3 linked regions of the Xenopus tropicalis genome follow. The protein of the gene in region 1 interacts with the protein of each later gene in a pairwise test. Links are inferred from orthologs where the notes say so. Each region holds a gene or a part of one and is shown in the gene's direction. Other genes may lie near its edges.

The links.
Region 2: the proteins of trim63 (region 1) and ckm interact in a two-hybrid assay, tested with the Homo sapiens proteins (2 studies listed by BioGRID). The link is inferred for Xenopus tropicalis from reciprocal best matches to the Homo sapiens genes TRIM63 and CKM.
Region 3: the proteins of trim63 (region 1) and tnnt1 interact in a two-hybrid assay, tested with the Homo sapiens proteins (2 studies listed by BioGRID and IntAct). The link is inferred for Xenopus tropicalis from reciprocal best matches to the Homo sapiens genes TRIM63 and TNNT1.

What each region holds. Positions count from the first base shown.
Region 1 is NC_030678.2:76,881,642-76,885,965, reverse strand, and holds part of trim63 (E3 ubiquitin-protein ligase TRIM63), read left to right. Parts: intron 1-73; coding exon 74-169; intron 170-637; coding exon 638-871; intron 872-1,863; coding exon 1,864-1,886; intron 1,887-2,327; coding exon 2,328-2,452; intron 2,453-3,289; coding exon 3,290-3,355; intron 3,356-4,324. UniProt on the Homo sapiens protein: E3 ubiquitin ligase. Mediates the ubiquitination and subsequent proteasomal degradation of CKM, GMEB1 and HIBADH.
Region 2 is NC_030684.2:70,816,312-70,822,317, forward strand, and holds the start of ckm (creatine kinase M-type), read left to right. Parts: upstream 1-1,968; 5' UTR 1,969-1,987; intron 1,988-4,771; 5' UTR 4,772-4,791; coding exon 4,792-4,984; intron 4,985-5,682; coding exon 5,683-5,837; intron 5,838-6,006. UniProt on the Homo sapiens protein: Reversibly catalyzes the transfer of phosphate between ATP and various phosphogens (e.g. creatine phosphate).
Region 3 is NC_030683.2:104,578,133-104,584,251, forward strand, and holds the start of tnnt1 (troponin T, slow skeletal muscle), read left to right. Parts: upstream 1-2,081; 5' UTR 2,082-2,192; intron 2,193-6,119. UniProt on the Homo sapiens protein: Troponin T is the tropomyosin-binding subunit of troponin, the thin filament regulatory complex which confers calcium-sensitivity to striated muscle actomyosin ATPase activity.

The sequences.
Region 1 (4,324 bases):
AATATACATCAATTTTTAACTCCCTTAATTATAACACATTTTTATTTTTTCTTTGCTATCTCTATTCTTACAGACAGAACTGAATAGCTGCATATCGATGCTGGTAGCGGGTAATGATAGAATTCAGTGTATTCTTAGCCAGCTGGAAGAATCATGCAAAACTATACAGGTGAGAAATTTCAAGAACTTTACTTTACATGGAGACAGCAGTGCATGAATCCTGGAGTTTCCTACACATACAGATCAATCTATATAGCTGATACAAGTTAAATGAGCAATGTACAGTGGATGTGAATAGTATTTTTTACCCAGCCTATTGGATATCTGGCCAATACCCAACCAGTTATCAGTCAGGTAGGCCCCTTTTTCACCTCTTGTATTGGTTATTGGTTGCATTGTATGTATCTGTATGTTTAATTTATACACCCATTTTTGTACAGTTCTGCGGAATACATGTTAATAATAATAAGGGCTGTCTATCCAGAATACAGTTTAGTGTAGTATATGTTTGCTCCAAAGTAACATCAAAGGAAACCATAAATCCGACTTACTTGCCTAAGAGGTGTTTGAGGGTTGTTACTGATCACTTACAGAGATTAGTGAGTTTGACTGTTCTTTCTTTAATCATCCCATTTAGGAGAACAGTCAGAGTAAAAAGGAGTCTGTGAAAGAGATGTTTGAGACACTTTTCAGGAACCTGGAGGAGAAAAAGACTCATCTGGTACAGCGGATTTCACAAGCTGAGGAAGAGAAGTTGAACTTTGTGCGTTCTCTCATTGTACGGTATCAGGAACAGCTCCAGTCCTCATCCAATGTGCTACAGAATGCTTTTCAGGCTATGGAACAGCCTGGACCTGCTAACTTTCTTCTGGTAATTTACTGGGACTTCCAACATAAATGCCTCTACATGCATATTTATAAAGACGAGTAAAAAAAAAAAGTGGCATGTGAATACAAAGTCAAATTTTGTAACAGTGAACTATACCTTTAGCTTCATAGTGCACCATTTAAACTTCCGGATTAAAAGATGTATTAAATACAAAAAGCCAAGCAAAAACAGGCATAAAGGAACAGTAACATCATGGCTACACAGCAGCTAACTTATATAAACTATAGTAGTCTTTCTGAGGCAAACACACCAGTTGTAGCAATGCAGGGCAACTGTACATTATATTGTAATTACTTTTATACACTTTCATTTTTTGGTGTTACTGTTCCTTTAAGTGCCACTGCATTTTAAACAGATCTGGCTCTTTTTATGCCAAAAATTTTTGCTGTAAAGGCAACAAAAGAACCTTAGAAATACACGTTATATTTTGTATGACTTTTTTGGCATAAAATATATATTTTTTTAAATATTCTTTATTTTCAAACATATAATATGGGGGATACAGAAGGCAAGAGGGAAGGGGGGTCAAAAAACAAGGGCATAAAATATTTTACTCGTCTTTATAAATAGGCCTTCTATTGTATTTATTCAGGGAAGTTGTCAAGCAGATTAAGCCACAATGCAAACAGTGCCAGCCAATTGGGCAGAATACCCCCTGCATCCAACTTGCAAGAACAGTATATTGCGATGCTGCTCACAGAGTATTAAATGTACCTATGTACCTACCCAGAGTATGTGACACCACAGTTTTAAAAGGTTAATACAGCTTTCAACACAATCAGAGCATAATAGGTCAACACACCCCAAATATAGTGTAAATTAAATCCAGGAAATACAAATTGCCTGTGTCTTATAAATTTATCCTTTAAAAATCCATTTATAGCGGTCTAATTTAGTTTAAACATTTTCTATTTCTTATGTTGTACCTCTCTTATGCTGTGCTAAACCTTTTCTTTTCTGCTGTTTTCCTACAGGAGTCCAAACAGCTTATTAAAAAGTAAGTAACATTCCAGATCCAAAGCATGAAAATCATATGATTGTTACCTACTGCATGAACTGGTGATTCAGCCATATCGAGTTCATAATAAAACAATACCAGTGTGCCTTTTGCTCAGAGAAGCAACTAGTAAAAAAAAATGAAAACATTCAAAGGATCCAGCAGTAAGGAAGGGCTATAGAAAGAAACATGGGGAGGTGACATAAGAGGAAGTTGTAGAATGGCAATTAGTGCAAGGAGTCGTATCAGCAGGTAGCATTTATTTGTCAAATACATGTCTGATGCAAAAGCAAGCATTGCTTTTGATTTGTTGCTATGGGTCATTATACTTGGGCAAATTTTGCCCATTTTTATTTTATTATATTATGTTAGGGATATCTAAGAATGCAGCTGTTCAGAGTGCTGTTCAGCTTATTTAAATGTTAACTCTTGTATTTGCAGGCTAATGGAAGCATCCAAAGGCTGCCAATTGGAGAAGACTGATCATGGATTTGAAAATATGGACCAGTTCACCCTGGATATGGAACATGTCAGCCAGTGTCTGAGAAGCATTGACTTCACTCCAAGTGAGCTGAGAATCATGGTTGGAAAGGATCTTGTTTAATGCAGGATTTGGGGTGACAATAGCATTTGATAATAAGAATATAGTCATCATTGTTTAAAACAAATACAGTCTACAAAGGAATTTTCTTAAAGTAAATCAGTTACAAAAATTATTTCAAGTAATGTAAATTAAATAAAAAAGTAGGACAATTATTTGCTGCTTTCTGTCTTTTTCCAGCTTTCAAATGGGGTTCACTGAAAAAAAGTAAAAAAGAAAAAAAACTATTGCTCTGCGAGGCTGCATTTTTTTTTTGTTATTTCTATCACTATCCATTACATAACTTTCTATTCAGACCCTCACCTATATCTTTATCTTGAAGTCTTAATTTAAGCCACTGCCTGGTTGCTAGGGAAATGGGACAAAAGCAAGCAGATGAAAAATGAAGACCAATTGCAAATTGTCTCAGACAATTGTCACTCATCAAAATATCTGTTCAATCATAGTTAAAGTTTATGTAAAGTTGAACTACCATTACATGCTTTTTATCGAAACCAAAAATAAAGGCACAAAAAAGCAACAGTAAATAAAACACTCACCAAGTAGTAGTAGTATAAATTAAAAAAAATCAAATACTGAAAAAAAATAAAGACAGACTGATTTTGTCATTGGGTTTATTTAACATATCTAGTCAAAAGGTAGATATTTGTCACCATGGAACAAATGTAAAATACACTCTTTCTTTGGTCAGTGATTTTGAGAACCTGTTAGAGGAAACCCATAACTGCATCAAAATAGACTAATGAGAATGCTGTATCAGCCATTTGGGAAGTACTGTACCGCTAAATGTTATTTTTTACAGACTGTGATGAAGATGAGGAAGATGATATAGAGGAATATGAAGAAACTGAAGAAGAAACACTTGAAGGTAAGAACATTTGTCATAGACAAATTTACACATATGTCTCTATAACAAAGGTCATGGTTTATATTGCATCTGCATGAGTCTCATGGTGGTATCCTGCAACTATTATTACAGAGGCACTAATTGCATTAATATTTTAGTTCCCCCTATTTACCAAGGCTTGGTTGCAACCATTATATTAAAAAATCCTGCTCCCCATGAACATTTCATTTTAGCATTTACTATCCAGCCACAAACTATATTTTTAATCCTGAAGTAGCTTTGGCATGACACAGAGATCAAATCATATGGGGGAACATTCATTAAAGTACGAATCTGAATCACGAAATCCAATCATTTCTGATGATTGCAAAAGTTATGAAGATTCAGTTCGTTTGAATACTAAGCTTTCGTAATTACGATCCGAAAGTTCAGAAATTTCCGTATTGAAGCAATCGTTTACAATTGGCGATCCAAAAGTCACAAAATTATCACATCCGAACGATCGTAAATGGCGGAAAAACCTTTCTGACTTCAGTGCATGATTCTGGCAGCTTCCCATAGGACTCAATGGCACTCTGCAGCTCCAACCTGGCCCAAGGAAAGTCACAATACCACAGCTTCAATGAATCCGAAACTTTCATACTTGGTGCGACAAATACGATTTTGTCGCACAAATCGTTGCGCAAATTGTCGGAAAGTACGAAAAAGTTGCGCAGATTAACAAAAATATTGTAGAAAATATGCAAAAGTTGTAAACTTTAGAATTTTTTGTAATCGGACCTGTCGTACTTTAATGAATGTGTTGTTACCCATTAGTATTCTAACATCTATCTTGCTTCAGTGGTATGACATGGAATTCTTATTTACCAAAATACTCCAGGTTTCAAAATTCAACCAGGTTGAAAATTTTCACCTGTGAACTAACCCATACAGGATAATGATATATTTCCTTTTCATTATTCAAAATGTACAAGACCAATCAAAGCTATA
Region 2 (6,006 bases), on another chromosome or scaffold:
TTTGTCCATTAATTGGTTGATGTGAACTAACATGTATGTGTGCCCTTGGTTTGTGTGCACCATGAATTGTATGATCCCAAGGGGACAGCCCTTAGTAGCTAAAATGGCAATTTTCTATTTAGGAGTACATAGTAATAAATATTACTAAACAGTATATTTTCATGAAAATGGTTTATTTAAATTATATCTCATAGTAAGCATTATTTTGTAAATTTGTTAATAGTACATGCAACCATAAGGTTCATGTTGCACTGGAACTGACATACTATGGCATAGGCTCAAAAGAGTTATAAGCAGCTGTAACTAACAACTTCCTCCGAGCTGTTGTGAGAGGCTGTCACAAACATGCTGCCTAAGAAAAGAACATGGTAGCAAGTTACTTATTGGTTAAAGTAGTCATATTACACTGACTGATGGGCCTTAACCCAAACAAACAGAACAGTAGCAAGGTAGTATGCAAAAAAGAAATTGCCACTCTTTCTTATGCATCAAATAGAGTTAATGGGCTCACACTGTTCCACTATCTGTCATTGTGTCACCCCTTGGTAATTGGTCACAAAAAAAGAAAGCAGAGCCAAACAGTGCTTTGACAAAGGGCACAGGTCCCAAAACAGGCGGTTTAGTTTTATCCAAATAAAGTGTTGCAGTTAAAGGAACAGTAACTCCAAAAAATGAAAGAGCTTTAAAGTAATACAAATATAATGCACTGTTGCCCTGCACTGGTAAAACTGGTGTGTTTGCTACAGTAACACTACTATAATTTATATAATAAGCTGCTGTGTAGCCATGGGGGCAGCCATTCAAGCTGGAAAAAAGGAGAAAAGGCACAGGTTACATTGCAGATAACAGATAAGTTCTGTAGAATACAATAGTGTTTTATCTGTTATCTGCTATGTGCCTGTGCCTTTTCTCCTTTGAATGGCTACATAGTAGTTTATTTATATAAATTATAGTAGACTTTCTGAAGTAAACACACAACTTTTACCAGTGCAGGGCGGCAGCACATTACATTTTAGTTAAGTTTATACACTTTCATTTTTTGGTGTTACTGTTCCTTTAAATAGCACTGCTTTGTTGAGACTGACAATCAGCAGGTAGCATTTAGAGGCTAGGCTGTTTTAAAACAAACAGATCATCTAGTTTACTAAACCAGAGAAAACTCTTTGTATCTGCTTTCTGCATCAGTCACTGTATCCGAACGATCAGCTATTGATCTCCTTTGATCAGCAGGATGTTCTGTTGGGTGCACCCTGGACGGTGTGTGCAGATAGTCAGGCAGTAAGATTGAACTATAAACATTACCAAACTTTGATAGTCACAGAATGGTACGTTGGGTATCATCTAGGTACAATACATGCTCAGATGGTCAGGGACTAATGTCGAATTGGCCAAATTACCTGATTGATTCTTGGCACATATGATCACCTTAGCACTCATCTGTAAAGAAAAGCATGCATTTTCATCAGTGCAGTAACACTAGTAATATCCTGGAATCACCCAGTGCAGAATGGCAACTCAGTTTTCAGTGTAACACTGATCAGAATGGTGAATCTTCCAAACCTTATCTGTCTGTACATCTGTCCCCCTGCTTAGCAGCCAGGCTTTTAGATTTTTCATACTCTATCACTGTCTCTGCCTGACTGAGATGGGTAAATTGAAATTCCTAGTTCCCCCTCTCTCTCTGCTTCACCGTGTCACCCAGTGTATGATAGGATCCAAAATTCCCTCTGTCTGTACTACTACTGAACTGACCCACCCACTCTCTAATTATAACCCATAGTGAGAAAGCTGAGCTCTTGTGCTCCAGATAAAGGCATCAAGTCAGATATAATAGGAACCAATGAGAAGGCGTTGATGTCTTGACATCACAGTGACACATTTCACACCTTCAAAGAGCTGGCCAATTGAAAGCAACTTAGGGTTATATAAGATAGAATTTGGATGAGCTAGTTGGGTCACCCTGAAGTTTGCTCCGTCTCTAAAGCAGGTAATACATTTTACCCTTCTACTGTTAGGGGGAAAGCCTTGTTGTGTGTGAACTTGTTCTTTGCCAAAATAGACCTGCAAATTCTCAAACAAAAGACAACCAGAGCCAGTTTTAGGGTTTGGGAGAGAGGGCATTTGCCCCCTAGATTTGGTAGATGCAACATCAACTGGTTGGTTGCAGGATATAAATTCTTAATTTACATATATTGGGGCTCCAACCAACTACAATGCACAGGACTTCCACATCTATAACTTTTACTTAGAATGGTAAATTTATAGCGTCATCTCATTAATATCTTCATAGAATGTAAATCTTCCTTTAGCAAAATATACTTGCAAAGCATAAGTTTATAAACCACACATGCAACTTTTTTCGTACAAAAGTAATATCCTTCTAGCTAGAAAGTATTGTGTGGAAACCAAACTGTAGGTTTCTGCAGAACTCTGGGCAGACCAAGTGCCTAGAAAGTGTACAAAGAAGGACACTTGCAGACCATATAATTGTGTCCCTATGTGAAGGCTGCAGTGCATTAAACCTTTCCCTGTATATGATACTTGATCGATGCAATTATATCAGGGAGACCCCTGCAGTAACATTTACATGTTCTTTTTGTAGACTAAAATGATTGTAAATTTTGCATGTATTTGCTGATAAATAAGTACAAAACAGCTGTTACCATTTTCATTAATGTTTACAGTAGGTTTCTCAACTATTCCTTAGCACCCACCAGAAGTGAGCTTACCACTGTTATATCTACCTTTTACTGACCCTTCATATGTGACGACCTGTGCATTAGTGATGGCATCCTTAGTGCATGAAGCAAGGAAAGGACGTAGAGCCTTAATATTTATAAATAGTTACAATAATACAGATCTTATGAGGATTTAACTCATTTGAGCATTTAACACAGATCTTGGACAGATCTTGGAATTCTTCAACCCTTTTTGTATGGTAGACTTTTAGAGCCTTTCATTATTTGCTTGTAAGGTATACTTTCTTGTAAGGCAGATCTGTAGAGTCTTAACCAGCAAACTTGTGGAGCATTTACATTTTTGCCCTCAAGTCAGTCCACTAGAGCAATGCTCCTCCTAAGTTGTACACATAAAATATGACAACACCACACACTATCAATGTGGCGCATATAGAAAATGTTGTATGTACAAATATAATTTAGTAACTGTTACGACAATCTGTTGTGCAGTGCCAGAATGGTTAGTCTTTCAGATCCTGTCTATCTGAACTACTGCATGTTGTGACTCGGTATGCTCCAGTGTGTACAGTCCCCATAGAGAAGCATGGGTTCATTTAACTCTTACATCCCCGTGTGGTGGATGGCAAAAATCAATGCATGGAATCAAAGTTGTAAATGTTCAAATGCAAGAGCCCTTATTCTTTCCCATTTATTGGGACCTATAACTTTAACTCAGAAGCTCCAAAATTAATAGCCTGAACAGTGATTTTGGTGAAATGCGGTTTTGGATGCCTTGTTAACTATGTAATAAGGTAATTATGCCTGCTTAATTATTAGACCTAAAAAGTCTGAATAACTCACAGCTAAACAGAGCTACAGAACTTAAATCCTTTTTCTGTTAAATAAACCTAAAGAGACTTAAACCATTCCTTGTAAAAAAAAAAAAATACCTGCAAGAATGGCTGCAAAGCTCCTAAATCTTTCTTTCCAAAACAACTGGTTTCCTGATGAATTTTCAGATGCTTTCACTTAGGACCTTGTGAAAGACCTACTCTCTTTAACCCTATCTCAGTAAGACTGTCCCCCAGTAGGCAGCTTTCCCTACAACTGATCATCTGTCAGTGAATTCAAAAATCTCTTTCTAGTATAGGAATATCTGTTTACTGGGGACAGTTGATTTATGGGTCATTCAACCCTTCAGTATTGGTAAGCCCTACCATGATAGACAGATACTTAAAGTGATTGCATGTTTGTTTGTCTGTCTGTCTATCTTGCTTTGGCTTTGGCAAGGATAAGTATCGTGCACCATCCTTTACTCTTTCAGTACTCTTTTCAGAACTTTAAACCTCTCCCCACCCCCTTTCTTTCCTCTCATGTTTCACAGCACAGCCACCTGTTAGCTTTGGCTATGTGTACAGAAATGGCATGATCTATATTTATCCAGAACGTGCTGTCCCAGCACTGCCAAACTGCCACTCGCTGCTACTGAACAGGCACATTCAAGAACACAGCCCAATAAAGTGTCACATAGTATCTTACTGGTCATGCACAAACTCACCTCTACACCTACCATATCATATGCTTTTGTCAAATCGCCAACTCAACATGCTTTGCCATTTGTTGCATAAGATCGCACGTCTCATACCAAGCAATTATGGGACTGTGGTGAACAGGAGCCAGAGAACATCTAGAATTGCTGGATGTAGGGGTACATATTGGTTTGGGAAGGTTCATGAATATAAGGCTCAGATCAGAGAAGTGGAATAAATAAGACATCTCTATATAGAGAAGACTGCCCTTCTCATCTTTTGACATGTGAATCTTTAATATCTAGATAACTAAATGATACTCTGTCCAACATCCTAATACCATTAGGACTGTATCTAGGACACTTTATAAAGGATTAACTCATCCAAGCCATTTCACATTTGACAAGCTGAAGTGTTGCTTCTCATCTGGGATTTCTCAAATTAAAAACCAAAAAACTACTAGATTTGTACCAAATATTTTGTCTACTGATGATCAACACATGCTGAATAATCCTTTCTAATGAATGTTTTTTTTTTCTCTTTTAAATGTCCCTTAAACTGCAGGTCTAGCCCGATCTTCCAACATGCCTTTCGGTAACACCCATAATAACTGGAAATTGAATTATTCCTCTGAGGAGGAATATCCTGACCTCACCAAGCACAACAATCATATGGCCAAGGCCCTGTCTGCTGACATCTACAAGAAGCTCAGGGACAAGCAGACACCAAGTGGCTTCACCTTGGATGATGTCATTCAGACTGGAGTTGACAACCCAGGTAAGAAATCTATAATTCTTGAAAAGTCCAGGGTTTTGGAACATTGTGGCTCTATAATTCCACTATGCTTTTTGTAGATTGGCTGGACAGATGTGTCTGGAATAGCCCCCTTTTCTCATAATATGGTACAACATTTACAGAAATAACGATAGGCACATCAATGCAGCAGGGGATAGGGTTCCATAAGTATAAAGGGCTTATGGGGATTGCAAATGATACATTTTTACAATGGGGGGGCTGAACTATCAGATATATGGTTAGGGAATCTAGTAATATGTCTTATAGCTTTGTTTTAGTTTGAAGTGGCACAGAGAGGAAAGATGTACCTCCCTTTCATTTTGGGCCTGCATTTGGGGAAGACACAGAGACCTTTAAGGAAACACCAAATCCTCAGGTCACATTGCACCTCAGGAAGTAGGGTTCAACTAAATTGTATACTGCAGACATTTCAGAAATAATAATAAATGTGGAAATGCTGTGTGACCCTTCCTCCCTAGTTCTGTGCACCCACCTATGATAATGTTTTTCTGTAGAATACTTCAAGATTTGCCTGTGTTAAGAAGTAAAACACTATAAAATGTCTATTATCTCTGCTTCTACTTGACTACCATCAGAAGGAACCTTTATCTTTTTCTGTAAAAAAATGAAAAATGAAATCACAAGTTCGTTCTATAAATGAGTTACCCTGCTGTTCATAGGCCATCCTTTCATCATGACTGTGGGCTGCGTAGCAGGGGATGAGGAATCCTATGAGGTGTTCAAGGACCTTTTTGATCCCATTATTGAGGATCGTCACGGTGGTTACAAGCCAACTGACAAACACAAGACAGACCTCAACTTTGCCAACCTTAAGGTATTCTGGTTATTAAATTAACATAAAGGGCAGTAAGTGCAGTTTAAGATATAACATTGTTTGTTGAGGATTGTTTGGAAATTACTATAGCAGTTAGTAAAGATAGGAATGTAAAATATATTTTTTAGTATTTTTTAACATTTGTTTCTATTTCAGTAATGTAGCCCTA
Region 3 (6,119 bases), on another chromosome or scaffold:
CCCCCTGCTTCAGTACCCGTTACCAACTCCCAGCATGTCCCACATTATGCCACTAATACTAATAATGGATTGGAGAGTACAAGCTAAGCCATAACAATATCTAATTCATAAGTCAACAACCTTCGAAATCCCTTTGTGTGTCAAATAGAGATTTGGCGTTAGCGTGTAGTCTGAAATATCCTTCCCAACTGCAAAACTGGATAATTCTCTGGATCAGTCAGAACTGATATATCTCATAACCATAGCTATATCCCTTCTTATTAGAAAGGCATCCAAACCACTTACAACCTAATTACTGAACTGCCCATCATCAGTATGTTCCTTAGCACAGAATTCTGTAACTCTACTTGGTGTAAGGGCTTGTGCACATAGCCGTCAGATCCATGTTTAGGAATGCATTTCATCTGCTTCTTCAATGCAATAAAACTCATGCAATGCAAAAATATTGAGCAGTTACAGTTTTCTAGTGTTTGATGCATGTTCTAATTAAAGAGGAACTCTGCATACCCAATAAAAACGCGGAACCGGCGCACTTCAACATTTCCTGACTTCTACGCGGTCCACCAGAAATCCACAGGGGATTGACTGGTGGACTGCGATCAACGTTTTGGCCACCCCTGCTGTAATCTGTTCCTTTAAAAAGTATGTTTCAGATTGTAACAAGTTCTCTAAAGTTTACAGATAGCATGCAGGAACTACATACCCCACAATGCATTGCACTGCAATGTTCTATTCCTTATTGACAACCCGTGTGCACGGGATTGTGGGATTTGGAGGATGCAGGCTGAGAGCAGTCAGCTACTGTTACATTTTCTTTTAGACTTATAGTCAGCCAGACCAGCAGGAGAACAGGGGGCTAGGCTTAGGTAACTGTTCCAAACCATATTATTACATTAAAAATTATGAAAAGGCTGCATATTTTTAATTGTTGTAATTGTTAATTGCTATAATGTTGCTTGAAATTATGTTTACTTTTCAAAGAGCTTAATCTGTGCTTGGGTTGATTTCCCCTTTAATATCTGGGGAGTGAAAAACTGTAAAATGCCAAACTGCAAGTGTTTGTGTATATGCTGTGTGTGCATCAAGCAAAGCAATACAATAAATGACAAAAGCAGATGTTACCAGACCATTGGGCAAAATCTTTTAGGCTCCCTCCCACACTTTGGAAAAGATAATCTGTGCCATACACACATGCCGAGATTGCACATCTATTATTGATCGCAGCTATTATTTGCAGCTTATTTCTTCAACTAGAGGGCACTCTCTCCTCTGGCTCAATCAAACTGCTTAAAGGGGCAGTATACACCTGTGTTAAAAAATAAACCACAGGCACTTTATAGTTACAATATATACACAGGCCGAGGCAGTGCCAGTCAGTACAGTTATAGCAAGGAGCGTATGGGAGTCAATGCTCTTCGTGTGCTATTAGCCTTAAATGAAACACTGTTCATTTTATATTAATATGAGCCCAACAAGTGCTAACCCATATAGGATTCCTAAATATTTTTATGATACAGGTATAGGACCCCTTATCCAGAATGTGCGGGACCAAGGGTATTCCAGATAAGAGGTCTTTCTGTAATTTCAATCTCCATACCTTAAGTCTACTAAAAAAAAACAATAAAACATTAATTAAACCCAATAGGATTGTTTTGCATACAATAAGGATTATTTATATCTTTTATTACTACAGAGAAAAAGGAAATCAGTTTTAAAATTATTTGATTAAAATGGAGTCTATGGGAGACATGCTTTTTCGTAATTCAAAGCTTTCTGTATAATGGGTTTCCGGATAAGGGATCCCACACCTGTAGTATATTATCAATAAGTGCTTGAAAGACTTACCATACAATTGCAAATATATATAGATAGATAGATATATGTATATATATATGTGTGTGTGTGTGTGTGTATGTGCTAATTTAATGCACATGTGAGGACAGAAAAATATTCCATAGGGTGATTGCTGTTCCTCTCCCTTTTCCTTTTATTGAAGTTGGATAATCCCCCCCTCCTCCCCAGCCCCCTGCCCAATACAATATGATCAGGGCCAGACGGTGGGGTCTGGTTTCTAAAAGAAAACGTCCACCACATGCTTGGGACAGCCCCACTACAAAGGGCATTTGAAAAAGCCATTTGTCTGTCACTCCAATCATAACCTCCGACGCCTCTCACGCTGACAAGGGCTCCAGGTAAGTGAGCTGGAACATCATGCTTAGTATTAGGGAAAAGGCAAGGCACATATATATAGAACTGATTAACTGAATCACTCATCCCATATTTTTATTTAGCATGTCTTAGTCTGTCAATATAATTAGTTTTTCTGTGCAGAGAATTATTTTTGTATATTGTGATTTTTGCATTTCTCTTTCTGGCTACATTTGGTTTGAGCTCACTGTAACACTATGAACAAAAGGAGAATGTTCCAGAGCCTATATGTTCCTTTCAAGCCTTTTACTCCCCTAAAGAGCCAGCCTTTTTATTCCCAGCATACTGCATGATTATGCTTATATATGTACTATTCCTGCCAAGGAGAATACTCTTGGACATTGACAATTGACAACTGCAGTTTTAAAAAATAATTTAGCAGCTTTAGGGGTTTTTTTTGCCCAAACCCATCCCTACTGTCTCCCATTCACTGTTATATAAACCACCTTATAGCACTATTACTACTTCTTTCCGTTTTCCAATTTAAAGGGACACGCAACCCCTTTGTTTAACACTGGCTCAGTGAATAGAGATTGTGCTGAACATACCTGCTGGACTGCTGATCTGTTTGACTCTGCGGACCAGAAAGTAGAACGTGACTGGAGTGCTATTGATTAAAAAGCTAAATAATTAAAAAAAACACAAAATCTGAAAAATGAAGACCAATTGCAAACTGTCTCATTATGCCTCATACTAAAAGTTAAAAGGCTAACTACCTCTGTAATTGGGTTTGTTTTACATTAATTTTAGTCATTATTCTTCATCACTTACATTTCTCTTTATATTTTGTGGATTACTCCTCCTTACTTTACTTACTGTAATGTACTGTTGCCCTGCACTGGTAAAACTTGTGTGTTTGCTTTAGAAACCCTAATATAGTTTCTATAAATCAGCTGCTGTGTAACCATGGGGGCAGCTATTTTAGCTGAAAAAAAGGATAACACACAGGTTACATAGTAGATAACAGATAAACACTGTAACATACAATTGGAATCTACACAGCTTATTGGTTTTCTGCTATGTAACCTGTGCCTTTTCTCCTTTTAAAGGTTGAATAGCTGCCCCCATGGCTACACAGCAGTTTTGTTTATATTAAAGGAACAGTAACACCAAAAAATTCAAGTGTATAAAAGAAATTCCAATATAATGTGCTGCTGCCCTGCACTGGTACAACTGGTGTGTTTGCCTCAGAAACACTACTATGGTTTATATAAAGAATGCAGCTGTGTAGCCATGGGGGCAGCCATTCAAAGGAGAAAAGGCACAGGCACATAGCAGATAACAGATAAAACACTATTGTATTCTACAGAGCTTATCCGTTATCTGCTATGTAACCTGTGCCTCTTCTCCTTTTTTCCAGCTTGAATGGCTGCCCCCGGGGCTACACAGCAGCTCATTATATATAACCTATAGTAGAGTTACTGTAGCAAACACACAACTTTTACCAGTGTAAGCCAACAGTACATTATATTTAATTTACTTTAAAACTCTTTCATTTTTTGGTGTTACTGTTCCTTTAACTATAGTAGGATTTCTGTAGCAAATGCACAACTTTTACTAGTACAGGGAAACAGTACATAATATATGAATTACTTGCACAGCTGTTGTTTGGGAGTTGCTAATAGGAGGAACTGCCCTGGGCATTGCAGAGCATTAGTTAGATATAGGATGTTGGTGGGGTAACAGGGTAATACCGCAACAGTAGAGCCACATGGTGATAATAGAGCAAGATAGACACTGTATTTCAGTATTGCCAAACCTGCAACCCTTAAGTTGATGCAGAAGTACACATCTCACTGTTCAATGATGGCAAAGGTGATTCAGAGGGTTGTAGTTTAACAGCAACTGCTTTTGTATGAAGTCATTGTGTGAACTGATGCCATTTATTATAGGTACAGGTATGGGACCTATTATACAGAATGCTTGGGACCTGGGGTTTTCCGGATAAGGGGTCTTTCCGTAATTTGGATCGCCTACCTTAAGTCTGCCAAAAAAAATATTTAAACAGTAATTAAACCCAATAGGATTGTTTTGGCTCCAATAAGGATTAATTATATCTTAGTTGGGATCAAGTACAAGGTTCTGTTTTATTATTACAGAAAATTATTTTTAAAAAATTTGAATTATTTAATTTAAATGGAGTCTATGGGAGATGGCCTTTCCGTAATTCAGAACTCTCTGGATAATGGGCTTCTGGATAAGGAGTCAGATTCCTGGACTTGCATCTATACTTCTACTAGTGCGCTGTTCCCACCTCCTGTGCCAAATCACATGCAAGTGTGTGTATTGAGGCAGGGGATCCCTGGAGCTACAACCACCTCCAAGTTTCAGAGTTCCCACTGTGGGTAAAAATTAGAACTGCTATACCCTCACATTCATCTGTGCAAACTGAAAATAAACCTTACTTCTAAATCTGATATATTCTCCTTTCAATACTCACACAAATATGCACAGTGCGTCTCTGCCAGGACTGAGTTCACTGAAGCCCTTAAGCATCTTGCATTAATGATCTAGTTGCAACCATCTTTAATTGTGGAGGGGCCCAGGTTTTATATACAGTAATGTTGGATTGTCCAACTTTTGGCCCTTCAGCACAACTCACAGCACTGCTGACAGCCACAGCACTGATATAAAATGGTACGTGCTGATTCCATCTTGTTCCTGCTACGCACCAATCATGCCGTATACAGGTGCTATAAGGACCAGAGCAGTCGCCTCTATCTTTCCTTTCTCCTCTTAAAGCTATGGAACTACTCATTCCCTAAAATGTATTCCTCAATGGCTATCCTATCCAGACTCTGCTACATGCTATGTCCTGAATGTGGAAGTCATTATTCAGACTCATTATGAAAGTGAGTGGGCTGTACAGTATCCTGCCTAATAATGTGCCTGGAAAATACATCTGCAGAACTGTCAAGGGAATCCAAGTATGATGTTTAGTAGCTTAGTAAGCAAAGCCAAATCACCATATATTACAAAATTGCACTTGCAAGTACACTTTAATGCAACTGGCAAAAAAGCCAATGGGGGCATTTCTGGCCCTGCTTCCTGAGCAGGGTAATTAAAGGAAGGAAGTGCATGAAATAATTACAATACAATGTAGCATTGCCCTGTTTGTTTGGTTCAGAAACACTACTATAGTTTATATAAACAAAGTTGCCAAGTACCCATGGGGGTGGTTATTTAAATTGAAATGGGGCTAAACAGGTTACATAGCAGATAACAGATAAGCACTGTAAAACACCATTGTATTCTAAAGAGTATATCTGTTATCTGCTATGTAACCTGTGCCATTTGTACCTTTTTTCCAGTTTGAATGGCTGCCCCCATGGCTACACAGCAGCTTATTTATATCAACTATGGTATCCTTTCTGAATCAAACACACAACTTATTATTTATAATAATAAATAATAACAACTTATTATTTATTTTATTTTATATAATATATTTTTTGGTGTTACTGTTCCTTTAAGCACCCTGAAACAACTGAATGTAAAACTGCTGTACTCTTATGAGCACTTTTGCTCAGCGTTTCTTTGCTCAGTTCTAGCAGTCAGCTAATTGGTAGAACTAATAGAGAAATACAGAAGACGCTTACTGCTCAGTACTCTAATTTTCTGGCAGCAGATGGCACTGCTGTTTCAAATTTGTTGTATTACCATTGTACCATGGTAACAAAAACTGCTATTATTAGTTAAAAACAATAATGCAAATTGCATAAACTGCTCAGAAGAGCACTTAAGATGTATACACATATAAAACCTGCATTGTTCTACCTTAAGGCATGATCTTTATCATCGTTTGCAATGTAAAGCATTTGGACTTATAAAACAAATAAACACTTAGGGCTCTGGTACACGGGGAGATTAGTCGCCCGCGGCAAAACTCCCTGCTCGTGGGCGACTAATCT